2 linked regions of the Lepisosteus oculatus genome follow. The protein of the gene in region 1 purifies or fractionates together with the protein of each later gene. This does not show direct contact. Links are inferred from orthologs where the notes say so. Each region holds a gene or a part of one and is shown in the gene's direction. Other genes may lie near its edges.

Region 1 (7,241 bases):
CTCTGCCTCACCGCTCTCACCCATGACTCTTCCTTCCCCAGGGGGAGCGTCTGAGCCGCTTCGGCTTCCGCAGTGAGACCACTGGCCGTGTGACCTTTGCCCTGCACTGCATTCAGCACTCAAGGTGAGGGGTGAGGGTCCGCTGTGGGCACCGGCTCCTGTGTCACTCACGACACCGGAGCGTCTGGTGTTTATGAAGAGGATGCACTCATTTAAATCCAAAACAAATCGTTTGGGAGGGGAGCAGAACTTTGAAATTCAGGGTTGTCTGATTTGTGTAAAGTGGGGGAATCAAATAAATGAGTTGACCCCAAGGTCGTGACCTGACATCCAGTCCCCACGCACCCCCATCTGATGAGTGACTGCATGAACCCCTCTGGGAATCGGGCTGTTCATCCCCAGATTATGCAAAACATATGCAAATATTTACTGTAAAGGAAGATGTTGATGTCCAACTCTGCACATTATAAATGACTTAAGGAGAACTGCACAAGTAAGAATGTGCAGTATAGATTATGGAATAGATTCCAAAAGGCTGAACAAGCTCATCAGGAGAGCGAGCTCTGTCATTGGGTCTGACCTGGACCCCTTGGAGGTAGTGGCTGAGAGGAGAATGATGTCCAAACTGGAGGCCATCATGGACAACTTCTCCCATCCCCTCTATGACAGGCTTGCAGGAATGAAGAGCACGTTCAGCAATAGACTGATTCATCCACGGTGCGACAGGGAGCGCTACAGGAGGTCATTCTTGCCGTCTGCCATAAGACTGTACAACGCATCCACCTTGCGTCTTGGCAGAGGCAACAGCGACAGTGACCTGTTTCTGGACTAAACGCATATACACATATACTGCTACATCTGTTCTCTTTCTTTTTCTTTTTCTTTTTCCCGTTTACAACCACTTTTGTGCAATATATGCCAGGGACCTGTGCAATACATTTATATTTATATTTATATCTATGGTTACATCTATATTTATATTCATACGTGTGATACGATTTTCTGTGTACTGTTCTGTTCTAGTTTCCTCTTGTGTGTCCGGACTGTGAGTAACTCTTGTATTGTATTGTATGTATTGTACTATTAGTATATAATTCGTTACACTGTGGCTGTGTTGTGTGTGTTAAGCTGCTGTTGCACTGCAATTTCCCTCACGGGATCAATAAAGTATCTATCTATCTATCTATCTAATGTGTCATAAATATAAAGCAAAGGTATCACATAATTATTGTTGGTCTTTATCTTACAAGATGATTTAAGGAGAACTGAAAACCCTGCTGAATTCTGATCAATGATGACTCTCGAGCTAGAAAAAAACATTTTTAAAATAAAAAGGAAAATGTGTTGCAGCAGGGCTTTCTTAATCAGAAATCAAAGTATAGAAGCATTCTTCCTGTTGTTGTCTCTCCACATCACAGGGCTTTTATTGATGCCAGTGCTCTGAGGAAGAGGAGGCAGAGTGTCCTGGACCAGCTGGGAGGGTTCAGCCAGCAGGGCTCCATCTACAATGTGCTGGGTAAGACACTGGCTCAGACTTACACACCCCTGCAGTTCTCTGTACCCTCCTTGCCCACACCTGGTGAGAGAATTTCACTCCGAGAACAAAAGTGTTCAACAAAAGAATTAAAATCAAGGGAAGTAAAATTTTAAAATGCACTAAAGAGATGTGGAAGTGCATTCAAAAGCTAAAACAGAAGGCGCTTCTTTACCCTAAGGCTTGTGGGAATAGGTAACAAGTTACCCAGCCATGCTGTTGGAGCTCCAGGGGTGCTGTACAATGGCTGCGCTCTGACCCCAAGCTTCTCTCCCTTTCTGTGTGTGTCTCATGGAGAGCAAGCTGGGGTATGCGAAAAGACAAATTCCTAATGCAAGAAATTGTTTATGGACAATAAAGTGATCTTTTCTCTCTTATGTCTTCAGACTATGGAAGGAAACCCACATGAACATTGGGGAGAACATGCAAACTCCACACAGACCGCACCCGTTCAATAATTAAACCCAGGGCCCTAGCACTGCGAGGCAGCAAGGCTAACCACTTCACCCTGCTGTCCATAATTAGATCTATTCAGTCAATCATGACCTTGAAGTGGAATACAAAGCAATAATACTGATAGCCCACCAGGAACTGAGTATGACACCCCTTCCTTATGATGACAGATTTTTTGCTTTACAGGCAGGTACAGTCTGCTGTTTTTTGAGCAATCTACCTGGGTTTCTTTGTGAAAATGCAAGCTGATAGGGTGAATGATCTTTCCTAACCATAACACGTCCATAGTCCATTATGCTCAGAGGGAGAAACGAGAGGTTGAATTCCAGATTCCTTGGATACCGGCCTGCAAAGTACTAGACTTCAGACACGCCCTTTCTTTGGGGTGGGGCCTGGACTCTTCGACCTGGGTGCTAGTTTCATTAATGACCATTTCAGCTACTGTGATTTCTGTCAGAAAAACCTTGGTGTGCTCCTGAGCAATAAAAGTGACCGGTGTAATTAAGAGTACAATCTTAATCACTTTCTCTGCTCTTCCCAGAGGCGTTTCAGAGGGCCCGGAGACGAATGCAGGAGGCTAGGGAGAGCCTTCCCAGTGACCTCATTAACACCACAGCGCCCCCTGCCTCTGAGTCCACTGCATAGAATCAGCACGGGGAACATGTATGCAGCTCTCACAGAAGGCCCGGGAAACATGCTTTCAGTCCTCCTACAGATCACCTTGAGAGATATGCTCAATTAGTAAATCTACAGAAAAAGGCAAAGAGAGCATTGAAATGCCATGAAATTATTTTTACGAGACACTTTGATATTGAATTTGAAATATTTTATAGTAATTGATATCTACTCTGTAATTAATCTGTGTATGGTATTATGTACTGGTATTAAATGAATTTGGATTGGAGAGTATTTTTATACTGTTTGTATTGTAATTGTTTTATATGGAAAATTGTAAATAAAGTTTATTTGCTGTTTTATTTAAGCCATATTTTATAAGATTGAAACCAGAGTTCACTTTCTCTTTTTTATATTTTATTGCACTATTTTTCTGAAATGCTCATCACAGCATCAGTGTTACAACTGGTCACATGATATCCTCAGGGATATCTTGAGGATCTGGGTCCGTGTTGAGGCATTGAGTCTCAATGACTTTTTAACTGGTAGGACTTTTTCCTATTGGCCTGTGCAAATCATGGCCTCCTAATAATCCCCATCTATGAATTGACTTCATTACTCTGCTCTCTTCCCTGCTGATTGCTTATGTGTGGTGAGCGTTCTGGTGCACCATGGCTGCCATCACATCATCCAGGTGGGGCTGCACACTGGTGGTGGTGGAGGGGATCCACATTACCTGTAAAGCGCTTTGAGTGGAGTGTCCAGAAAAGCGGTATATAAGTGTAAGCAATTATTATATAAAAATGTGTGAATGTACTGTGAGTGAAACATCACAATGACACCTATTCCAAGAACACTACTTTCACTGGGACAAGGTTCAACAAAAGCAAGGTCCTTGCAGAGAGGCAATATGACGACCTGTAGAACCCGGTGCTCGAGGGGAATTATTTGTGAGCGTTTTACTCTCAGGGTCCAGGTTTCAGCCACATCAGATGCTGAACACTTATCTGACGCTTGGATGGGGTTTTCTTAGACTCCTAGGACTAGGGGAATCTCATTCCAGGGCTATCCATCCAAATCACCACACCCTCGGCACTGAGATAGCACTGGGAAGTCAGGGGTCTGGACTGGAAACGGCAAGGCTGTAGGCTCGGCTCTCAGGCTGCGTAAAAGATGTTACACACGCCATTTGCTTTGGATTAGACTAGTGTCAGTCAAATAATTACTTTTAATAGCCGTCTGCATGGCGCGGGACGATGCATTAAACTTGGACTTAATTCTATCTTTCCACTTTACAATAATAAAATGCAGGCCTATCGTCAAAAAATAAACTGAAAGTAAGTAACCGAAGATCCAGCAAAGCTGTTACATACGCAGAAACTACTGTTAAATAGAAGTGTCTCGAATACACAAAAGTATCTAACAGCGGTGTTTAATAAACAACAATGGATGATAATAATCGTTTTCTCTCCCTTAGTCCAAATACGCTGCAGCTGCAGGCTGGGATGTGACCATTTCTCTGCCCCCGTCCGTCTCTAAGCGCTCGCAGCGCTGCGCTTTGTTACCGAGCGCCAGCCTGCGGATCCGCGCATAATGGCGCAGCCAGACCTACTTTCGAAACCGCCCGGACACCGTCGCGGAATATTCACGAAAACAACCACCAAAAATCACTCATAACGGAGGGGAGCGAATAGAATTGCCGCTCGGCACAATTAAACAAAACAGAGCGAGGCAATTTATTGATTTATTTATTTTATGCCACCGCTTGACCTTTAACCCTGCGCTTCAACCTAACACCACATCCTCCTCGGGGACGGGGGAGGGCTGCGGGGGGGCGTGGCTGCACTTAATGGACAGCAGGAGCGCCAATGGGCCGGCGCGGCCGTGCTCGAGACGGCGTGGGCAGCCAATGAGCAGGAAGGGACACGGGGGCGGGATCAAGCCGAGCCTGCTGCCGGGGTAACGGAGTTTTTTTGGGGTTGCCGGCGGAGTCGGATCTCCCGCCATTTTTCAATAAGGATTTCACCCTGTTGTTTGTTTTCGCACCTGCTTTATTGTCGCTCACCTTCCCCCTGCACGTCAGGTGAACGGCGAGCCGGGAGCGCCAGAGAGCGGTGTTGTCCTGCGGCGAGAAGCGAGCCGGGAGAAGGCGCGACAGACCCCCGTCTGCGTCCCTGTCTCCGGGAGAGCCCGTCTCCATCCTCAGCCGCACACAGCGGGATCTCCGCGGCCAGGAGGCCAATCACATTTCCCGGCCCGGGCTCCATCGCCGCTCCCCATCCCCGCGCAGACCAGGAGGATGCCGGCGCCGGCTGCCTGAGCCAGCCAGCCAGCCGCAGACGGGCCGGCGAGCCGGCGGGGGAGCCGGTGTGTGACCGTGGCGCCGGGCGAGCCGAGCCTCCTGCATGCCCTACGCGCGGGGTCCCCGGAGCCGCTGTGTGATCCTGCAGTCTGGACTTCATGCGAAGGGCCTCCCCGCTCTCTGTGCGGGATTTCGGACAGCTGCCTGAGCCGAGGAGCTTCTTTCGTCGCCCGTCCGCGCTCCTGTCGCCGGCCCGATGGCACCGCTGCTGGGCCGGAAGCCCTACCCGCTGGTGAAGCCGCTGGCGGAGCCGCCAGGCCCCGAGGAGCTGGTCTACACCATCGAGCACACGAAGGAGGCCTTCAGGAACAAAGAGTATCCTTCCCTTGCCCGCCCCGGGCCTGTCCGCAGCGGCCGGCGCCGGGTGTGCTTGATCCGTGCCCGGGGTCCGGGAGCTCCTCCCCGGCCGCTGAGCCTCTTTGTCCGCCGACAACAACAGGGCTCCCCCGCCGCCTCCGCTCTTCGCGCCGGCTTTTGTTCCGATCGGGGTCTCGCTGGCTGGCCGGGGGTGGGGGGGGGTCCGGGTTTTGACTGTGTGGCTCAACATGTGCTCGTTTGCGGCGGGGTTGCACATGTGCGCGTCTCGGCTGAGACAAAGGAAGTTGCCCGGTGAGGCGCGCAGGGCGGCGGGCTGACAGCGCTGACAGGCGCCGCGGCGGGGCCGCCCGGCCGTTTCCTCGGCGCACAGCTGAGGCGTGAAGCTCGGCTGCGGGCGTTATTGGCAGATTGGCGGCGTTTTATTCTGGGATCGCAGGCGGTGGCAGAGTCGCTCTGATGCGTCCGGCGATTGCAGTCTCCTCTTGGCACTGACGTGTGCGCCTCGCTGCTGGAGTCGGAAGAGGTTTCACACGGTCGGCTGTCCGGGCAGGTGGGGGAGTCCGGCTCGCAGACTCCTCCGATCACATCCGTGATGGTGTTCACAGGCGGGGGCGGACAGCAGCCAGCCTATCCTCAGCCCCACTCCGTGACACGGTGTTTGGAGTGTTTCACAAAATCCCGACCCCCGGGAGTCATTGATCATGTCTCGCAGCTCCAGCGATCAGGAGCCACCGGCTGGTTTCCCTTTCGTGTCGGTGTGCATGTGCCCCAGTCCCGGGGTGAGCGGCGTGGTGTCACCGGGGGCACTGACTGGCACGCCAGCTGCTCAGTGGCTGTGCTGACCCTGCCCGCTGGCGCTGGGGGAGAGAGGGGTGACCGTGGGCAGGGTGGCGACTCCAGAGCCTGGGTGGGCAGTTGTTCTCCCGGGCTGGAGCTGTGCCCCCTGTTGCGCCTCAGCCTGGTGCCCCGCCGGCTGGGGGGGTGCTGCACCCTGTGTCTCTTGCCGGGTGGAAAGCTGCGCTGTGTGGCGATTGTGTGGGTGATGGAGGGGTGCAGAGCTCCGCTGGCCCCAGGCCCGGGTGTCATTGCTGTGCTGGGCCTGGCCCCGTGACCTTGTGCGAAGCGGCTCGTCGGTGGGATCTGCTCTCTGGAGGGTGATCGCGGCCGGCGGAAAAATCTTATTTTCTTAGACATAGAATGTTTCTTTTTTAGGCTTTTAAGCCTGATTACTCAGAAAATTGACCTACTAGTACAGTCACCAGTAAAACACCTCAGGCTTGGTTATATGTGTTGCACTAATGCTGCAAAATAACGCTCTGGACTGTGGAATTGTGATTTCGGGTAAACTCGCTGTAAACTCAGGAACTGAATCTGACACCTTGTAATAGTTTCATTATTCATAGCTGACACCAGTGTTTGATTTCATGAGCTCTAGGTTCTTATGGTAGAAGTTCTACCTATCAGATATAAAAATTAATGTACGCTTATTGTTTTGAATTCATTAATCTTTCACTATTGAATATCTGGAATAAGCTTTAAATGCAGCATTCTCTCCTGCTCATGTAGCGCCTGCCGCTGTGAAGTCACGCTGCGCTGTTGTCCTGAGTTGCGTCCACACCCATGTATTGTTCCAGTACTTAAAAGTACTCATTTTCAAACAGGGGAAAAAATCTTTGACGTCTGTCCTTTTTGTTCCTCTTTTCTAAATCATTGAGCCAGATACGTTAATTCTCATTTTCCTAGATGGCCTGGGCAGTTACCTTTCTAAGCAGCAGGGTTTTAACTAGAGAAAGAGTGACACCTCTCCTGGGATTTGAACCCGCAACCTCCTGGTCTGGAGTCCACTCCCCCACGCTGCTTGGCCTGTGTTGTCACCCGTCCCTCTGAAACCGTGCACTTCCTCCAGTATGGGGGAGGAGGGTGTAGGATTACTCGAGATTTCTATCTTTTGCAAATGTT
Region 2 (7,864 bases), about 11 Mb from region 1:
TCTGCAGGATCCCTAGAGGACCGTGCGACAGCTAAAGCATTACTCGCCCTGATGTCTGGGTACGTGCTACATGGCTTCTCTAAGCGGCAGTTGAGCCTCTACACTAATATACTATATAAGGCAGCAGAGTGTGTATTAACACTGCGCTTGCTTTGACTGGAGAGGTCCTCTGGGGTTCTTGTGAGATGAACTGACTGTTAATAACGTGATGATCATTTAAACGCGGCGCTTTTGCTACAAGTCGCCGGCAGTAGGGAATACAGTTACATCAACCACCAGGGGTCGGCAGACTCCCGGCATTGCAGGGAGCCCTGAATCTGAGCAGGTCGGGGTTTCCGTGTTTTTGTCGCGGCTGCCTGTCGGGGGGGTGAGGAAGACTCTACAGGAGAGCCCCCTTGCTCCGCGCGAGTGGACGGCCCCGTGCGAGGCTTGGGACGCTTTTTTGTTTTATAAACGACATCTAGCTGAAGGTCGGCCAAGGGTCCTTGTCGCCGCTGTAAACTCTTGAGCTGAAGGAGTTCGTGACCCACTTGTTGCCGGACAGGACGGAGATGGGCCGGGGGCTGCTGTGGTGCCTCACACGCCACGACAAGAAGCGAAACACTGAAGCATTAACTTAGAATTAGGAACACAGTTAGGAAACCAGTTGCTGCTCGGATAGGAGACTGGAGGCTAATTCATAACAATAACAATCATCATTGTTTTAAATAGCGCCTTTAAAGGTGACTTCTCATAGCGCTTAAAGCGTTTTTGCGTAGGTTTCTCGTTCATAAGGTGGAACGTAGCTTTAACGAGGAAAACACGTTTTCGCCCCATATTTACTCGTATTAAATTGGAATATTAGTTTTATTTTGATTTGATAAATCACGGAGCACGGCAGCATTTTTAATAGATCAGCAGCCTGTTTGGCAGCCTCTTGTTGGCCCTCTCACATGAACAGATCTCAGAACACGTCACGCGTGGAGCCTTTGCCAGGCTGATCAGCTTGCGTGGAGATCTCTAGTTTGTCCACGCGTGCCATGAGCTGTGAGGCCCGGTTCAGATTGGGATTGACAGATATGACCACCTTTAGTGCTTTGTAGGTTTTTTTTCTTTAGGTTATTTTAAATCCACATCAGCGTGTTTCCGATGTCCAGTAAACTTGTTTTGACCATTTCCTCCGGACAGTCCAGCGCCGCTGTACCGGCGGCGACATCAGAACCTCGCGAGGAAGACGAGCTGGCGAGCTGACCCAGTTCGGGTCGGTTCATTTCCGCCGTGTTTTCAACTACATAATGTGCATTCCGTCAGAATGCCTTCATTTTTTCCTGTTTTGTTCGTGTAAAACCAATTCCAGAGATCTTCCATTAGCATCTGAACCTGTCATTAAGGTATGTGGTATTTAAGGCATTTCTAAACTGTGAAATTGCAATAAAAAATCGCAATGAATGTATGTAAATGTTGTTTCTCTCACTACCTATTTATTTATACATTTCTTATAAATAAATCTATTATATACTCTTGTTGTGATTTCATGCAGTTCATGGGATGTTATGTGACTTTTATGTTTTGCGTGTGTGTTTTGTACTTGTACTTGATGGGAGAAGCCCAAGACAAATGTCCACAGTGGGAAGGACATTCTCAAGCACAGAGGATCACTGACAGAGCCGCTAACCCGGTGTCTGTGTCTCCTGCCGCCTCCTTCCTGTCCATGCGACGTGACGGTTCTCTTTCTGTCAGAACAGCAAGAAACTGCAATTAATCAAGCTTTTGCCACAGTGGGAAATCCGTTTGCGTCCCTCCCTGTCCAGCCCGGGCCCGTACCCTCAGCACACTGGTAACACAGTAACACAGGAAGCCTAAATAGCACCTCGACGGTGGGCTGCGCGAGGCTCTGGGCTGTAAATGTCAGAGGATGTTTTCCCAGACACTGCTAGAGGAAATACCGCAGTCCTGCTTTGCTTGTTGTTTCTTACTCCGTAGGAAATTAATGTAAAGTTAGCTGCAAAGAAGTGAGAGGACAAAAACTTGTTGTTTTTTTTCAGGCCAGGTTTGTGCTGGAAGCCTTGGGCTGTGCTTCCTGTTGATGCCCAGCAAGACTGCCCCTCTCCTGCACGGTCAGAGTTCAAAGGATGTGCATCCAGTTCCTTCTCCTCCTGCTGGGAGCTGTCCCGCCCTGCAGCTCGGTGCAGACACACACAGAGCAGAGCCCTCTGCCAATCGCCATGAGGCCCGACTCTGTGTGATGATGAGCACTCGTGTGCCCATGTGCCCTTGTCCCTATGTGCCCGTGTGCCTGTGTGGCCTAAGTGGGGATCCAGCACACCTGGCTCACTCAGCCTCCTCACCTCCATGTCTCCTGCCTGGCTCACTCAGCCTCCTCACCTCCGTGTCTCCCGCCTGGCTCACTCAGCCTCCTCAGCTCCGTGTCTCCCGCCTGCCTCACTCAGCCTCCTCACCTCCGTGTCGGCTGGGCTCACTCAGCCTCCTCAGCTCCGTGTCTCCCGCCTGCCTCACTCAGCCTCCTCACCTCCGTGTCACCTGGGCTCACTCAGCCTCCTCAGCTCCGTGACGGCTGGGCTCGCTCAGCCTCCTCAGCTCCGTGTCTCCTGCCTGGCTCACTCAGCCTCCTCAGCTCCGTGTCTCCCGCCTGCCTCACTCAGCCTCCTCACCTCCGTGTCACCTGGGCTCACTCAGCCTCCTCAGCTCCGGTTCGGCTGGGCTCACTCAGCCTCCTCAGCTCCGTGACAGCTGGGCTCACTCAGCCTCCTCAGTTCTGTGTCACCTGGGCTCACTCAGCCTCCTCAGCTCTGTGTCGGCTGGGCTCACTCAGCCTCCTCAGCTCCGTGACAGCTGGGCTCACTCAGCCTCCTCAGTTCTGTGTCACCTGGGCTCACTCAGCCTCCTCAGCTCCGTGTCGGCTGGGCTCACTCAGCCCCCTCAGCTCCGTGTCTCCCGCCTGGCTCACTCAGCCTCCTCAGTTCTGTGTCTGCTGGGCTCACTCAGCCCCCTCAGCTCGGTGTCATCTGGGCTGAGGAGTCACGCTTGATTCTCGGACAGCGATCCCCATGGTGTCGAGAGCAGAGCCAGCTTGTCTGCCTGAAAACAGGGGCTGAAGATGCCCTGGCCAGCTCCCGTGTGGGACTCCAGTCCTGCCCCATCGTGAGTCCATGCTGGACACCCCCCGGCCTGCCTGATTCGTGCAGGACCAGATACCACTCCGGCGTCCTTTACTGCCCCTGTCAGGGTCCGCAGTCGAGTCACTCGCTTCATCCTTCACACACGATGGCCTGGCATCTCTCTAGACCACAGCACTCCCACAGAGAGGAAGGAGGAGAGCTTTAATGTTTCACTATAGCACGGACAGCCAACCGAAAAAGGAATTAAACCTTTTCGAGAAAGACCACTTCCACCACTTCAGGTCGCACACAGCCACCAAGGAAGAGGAAACTCACCAGAGACTGTGTTTGACTTCTGGAGTAGTATTCCCAGCATTATTTGTGTGCAGATTTCCTTTTCTCTGCACATGTCCCACTCTTGTATGCATTCATATAAATTACTGACATCACTGCAGGGAGTGCACATCTTCCTCGTCTTTTAAGCCTTTCCTTACTAATTGTGTCACAATCGTAAGCCCCTCCTCTTAAGGATGCCCCAGCTCTTTCTTGTTTCTCTTGATTTTTTGCACCTGCCTCCTGTTCCAGCCCTTCCCTACAAAAGCCAGACGCTCCCACCATTCCGGGCTCAGCTTTGGAAGATGGACGCCCGGAAGCCTACCTACCAGCGAGTCCAGGAGTGCCACGATGGCATTGGCTTCACAACGGCGACCTGACCGTCTGGGTCCGGGGCTGGGAGCGCCTGGCCACGTTCCTCGTTTTTAATCCCCCGACCCTTCGCCGGATCCAGCTCCGGCTTTTAACTTCTGTCATGGCTGCCTTGGTTTGGATAACCCGGCTCAAGACTCTTGCATTCTCTGGATTTCCCTTCGGACCCCCTTTGGACTTGTTTGCCTTGGTTTGCCCCCCCCCCCCCCCCCCCCCGAGCACCAGTGCACCGTTGACATGCCCCCCTGTTCTTCTTCCAGCCCCGATCCCAGTCTTTTTTCCCCATGTTTGTCTCACTCCCCTCCGGATTCTGCCGTCTGCATAGGGTCCTGAAAAAACGCTTCGTGACAAATTGCCCACGCCCCAACCTTTGGCCACCCTAGTGGACCCAGTGGAGGAGCCCCCAAGGAGACAAGAAGCTTGACACAAATTTCAGGGTACCAAGAGAGACTCGCAAGAAGAGAAGCAATGATTCACCACAGGGATTTCAGAGAAGCCAACTTGTTGGAAGACCAGGGTACAGGGCCCACTGTGTCCAGCTTCAGCGATGCTGAGCCCTGTCCACCCAGTGTCCAGTTTTTTGGGGGTTTGAGAGGCCTCCAGCATGGGGGCAGCCTGGTTAGGGTTTCCTTGTCTTCTCCTTGTCTTCGCCCCGGTGTAAAAGTTATCCGATTTCAAGCCAGTCGACAGGCAGGGGGCAGGCCCAGGATTCGCTGCGGCACTCAGCCGCCCTCTCCCGGCTGCTCAGTGCTCAGTTGGTGTTTAAAAAGAGAAAGAAAAGAAAACAAAACAGCCTCCTTCTTGTTTTCCAAGGGAAACGTTCGCCCTCTTTATTTATGTTTGGAGCCCAGAGCAGGATACAGCAGCTTTCAGAAAGTCTTTAAGGAAGCCCTGACGTGACCCCCACAGCTTCAAGGCTCTGCAGGAGAACATCAATTACAGCGCGTTTGGAACAGGACTTGACACCCTGGATGTGCTCTCCCGCCTCGTTGTGGAAGTGCGCACTTCATCCTCCACCCCATCCAGGTACCACAGCTCTTTCCCTCCTCTCTCTCAAGAAACAAAGACTCCCCTTCAGTTCCTCCCAGTGCACAGCTGAGCCAGACCAGCTTCTGGAGTCTCCTCTCTCCTTCTCCAGCATTAGAGCTTTTCTGGGGTCGGATACGTCTGAACGCCCAGTCTTTCCAGCTGGCACTAGGGGAAAGATGGAGCTGAAAATCCAACTAATTCCGACTGGGGAGATTATTCTGCCTCCTGGGAAGAATGGGGAATGTTTCTGCAGTAACTGCATCAAGGTGAGAAGGATTTTTTGCTTTCTTTGATTCGGTCTGATGTTTGGATGTTGAAATATGCAAAAAACGACATAAAATATGGTTGGAACACAGAGAGATGTCTTGCTGAAAGATTAAACAGAAATTAAATGGCTTTTTTTTTGCAAACCCAAGGGCAGGGTTAGCAGAGGAGAGAATAATGAATTGGATATTGTGCTGGAGATCTGTGATAATCCAACACTAGTCAAGTTTCCTTCGGTTTGTGACTGAAAGACCGTAATGTACATTGTGTATCGCTGGATGATGTGTCTAGTTGTGTTCTGTCATTGTTTCTGTGTTTTCTCCCCTGCTGGGTTTGCATTTTAAATTAATCAAAATAAAAGAATTGTTAAAAAACTAGTGAAGTACAGTCCAGCCAGCTGTTTAGCAACATTGTGCACAGTCCAGATAAAATCTCAATGCATTGGCTACGTCCCTGGTCATGTGAGCTTGGTCCCAGTACCCTAGCGAGACAGAGACATGATACTGAGCCGAATATCTTCCAGAGCACTGCAGGCACGCATGGGGAAGAGTGAAGAAACACAGGAGATCTGCAGAAATACTTCAAAGGTCAAGGGCCAGTGGGACAAAGTCTAGCACAGTGCTTCCCAAACTTTCCAGCTCACAGCACACGTTTAACATCCTAAGTGTTTTACAGCACACCACATGATTCTAAAATACATAGAAATAAATACAAAGAAATGCACTTTTAACTGAAACACAGACTACAATTTTGATGAATAATATCACCGCCACTCTTTATACTAGAATTTCAGTGGGAAATGTGAGCTTGTTTCAGTGCAGACAAACTTTGAAGATTGGGTTCAGAGCTGGAAAGAGCTGCTGTGCATGACGATCCTGACCCACACTTTTTAAACACGACTGACCTGACTCCACGACACAGCTGAGACCTTTCTGCCAGAGACACAGGACACCGGACACACTACCCTAGAAGCCAAAAAGCAGAGAGGAGCAGAAAAGCAGAAAGCAGAAGTGATCTGCGCAGATACACTGATGATCTGATTAAGCATTTCCATCCTGCTGCCGAAGCAGTAGAAACTTCTCTTTTTGTTTTGGTGCCAATTTTTATTTCTTGCCACCAGCACACACATATAGACAGACATTAGTTGATTTCTTGTCTATATATGCAAATAGAGTCCTGTGGGTTTCAGCACGAGCTCGTCCCTGGGACTAACCTGGGTCTGTGCAGGAAGCCCCCAGTTTGGGTGTGGCTGGAAAGACTGTAGAGGGCGCCTCTGCCAGGATCTGGCTCTCAGGAAGCTGCCGTTTCTGGGCAGCCTTCCTGTGGCTCTGGGGCGGCGCTGGCCAGTGAGAGTGGGCTTCCTGTTCAATACCCCTGTGCTGTGACCCAGTGACAGGAGCCAGTGGTGTGTGTGTGGGGGGGAGGATGGAATCTTTTGTATTCAATTCACTTAAGTTTATTTTTATATAAGATCAGATCACTTTATTGGCCATATACAATTTCTCGCATCAGGAATTTGTCTTTTTGCATACCCCAACTTGCTCTCCATGAGACACACAGACAGGGAGAGAAGCTGGGGGTCAGAGCGCAGGGTCAGCCATTTATATGGTGCCCCTGGAGCAGTTGGGGTTAAGGGCCTTGCTCAGGGGCCCAACGGAGTAGGATTCCTCTGCCGGCTGCGGGATTTGAACCGGCAACCTTCCAGCCACAGGCGCAGATCCTGAGCCGGGGTGCAATTGCTCTGCCCATATACCGCCATATAGCGCCTTTCACAACAAGGTTGCCCGAAGGTGCTTAACAAAGCAAGTGACCAGACGTATTGTGAATACAGAACAGAAAAGACCAGAAGACAACGGAGGAGAGGAACCAAAAACTCCTCAGTAAGGAGAAAAAAAACCTCCAGGGGTCCAGGGTCAACTGGCTGTCCAACCCCTCTGGCATGCTAACATTATACAATTCAAAAAAAGAATAAATGAATAAGGGTATTAAGTTTTTGTATGAAAAATATATAAAGAAAAACATTCTGAATGTCTTAGACATTTTATATGTGGTTGGTGAAAGCTGGTGTTGAATTTTTCTCTGAACGTTCCTCTGTTGGGATGCTCCCAGGAGAATTAGCAGAGGCCTAGAACAGGGGTCCCCCCTCTAGACCACTGGGGTGCAGAATCCAGCTGGTGCTGTGTGTCTCTCTGACCGAACGGGTAAAGACACACTCCTGTGAGGGGGCCCAACCCTCCTCACAGGAGATGAACTGTTTCTACACACTAAGGACGCAGAACACCTGCTGGACTCTGGGCCCTGAGGACCGGAGACCTCATGGCCGGCCACCTGGCGGGCTGGTTTAATTGTCCAGTAGACTGGGGGACGAGCCGCACGGCGCTGGGGCCCTGGGTTCAGTTCCTGGGGTGCTGTCTGTGTGGAGTTTGTATGTTCTCTTTGTGTTTGTGTGGGTGTCCTCCCCCAGTCCAAAGAAATGTTGGTAGGGTCTTTGTCTTCAGGGAGTAATTGGTCCTGATGTGTCTGACTGCCCTGTGATGGACTGGCCTCCCTCCCAGGGTGTACCCCACCTTGCGCCTGTGTGCTCTGGTTCCCATGTGACCCTAAATTGGATGAAGTGTTTAGAAAACGGATGGACTGTGGGATCTGATCACAAACCCGATGGAGTATTTTAACATCAACTTAAGAGTCTGCTTTCAACTACATATTATTTGAAGTGATAAAAAAAACAAATCTTCTAAATATCTCGTGGAGTGCGGGTCGGGTTTTGT

The links. Proteins that work in one complex are often made in the same cells at the same time.
Region 2: the proteins of baz1b (region 1) and myo1cb purify together in Homo sapiens (affinity purification with western blotting; 3 studies listed by BioGRID, with this or other methods). This does not show direct contact. The link is inferred for Lepisosteus oculatus from reciprocal best matches to the Homo sapiens genes BAZ1B and MYO1C.

What each region holds. Positions count from the first base shown.
Region 1 is NC_090721.1:440,713-447,953, reverse strand, and holds the start of baz1b (tyrosine-protein kinase BAZ1B), read left to right. Parts: upstream 1-4,209; 5' UTR 4,210-5,160; coding exon 5,161-5,279; intron 5,280-7,241. Other genes in the region: tectonic-like complex member MKS1, read left to right, coding at 42-124, 1,419-1,516, 2,529-2,632. UniProt on the Homo sapiens protein: Atypical tyrosine-protein kinase that plays a central role in chromatin remodeling and acts as a transcription regulator. Involved in DNA damage response by phosphorylating 'Tyr-142' of histone H2AX (H2AXY142ph).
Region 2 is NC_090721.1:11,143,843-11,151,706, forward strand, and holds the start of myo1cb (myosin Ic, paralog b), read left to right. Parts: upstream 1-4,774; coding exon 4,775-5,098; intron 5,099-7,864.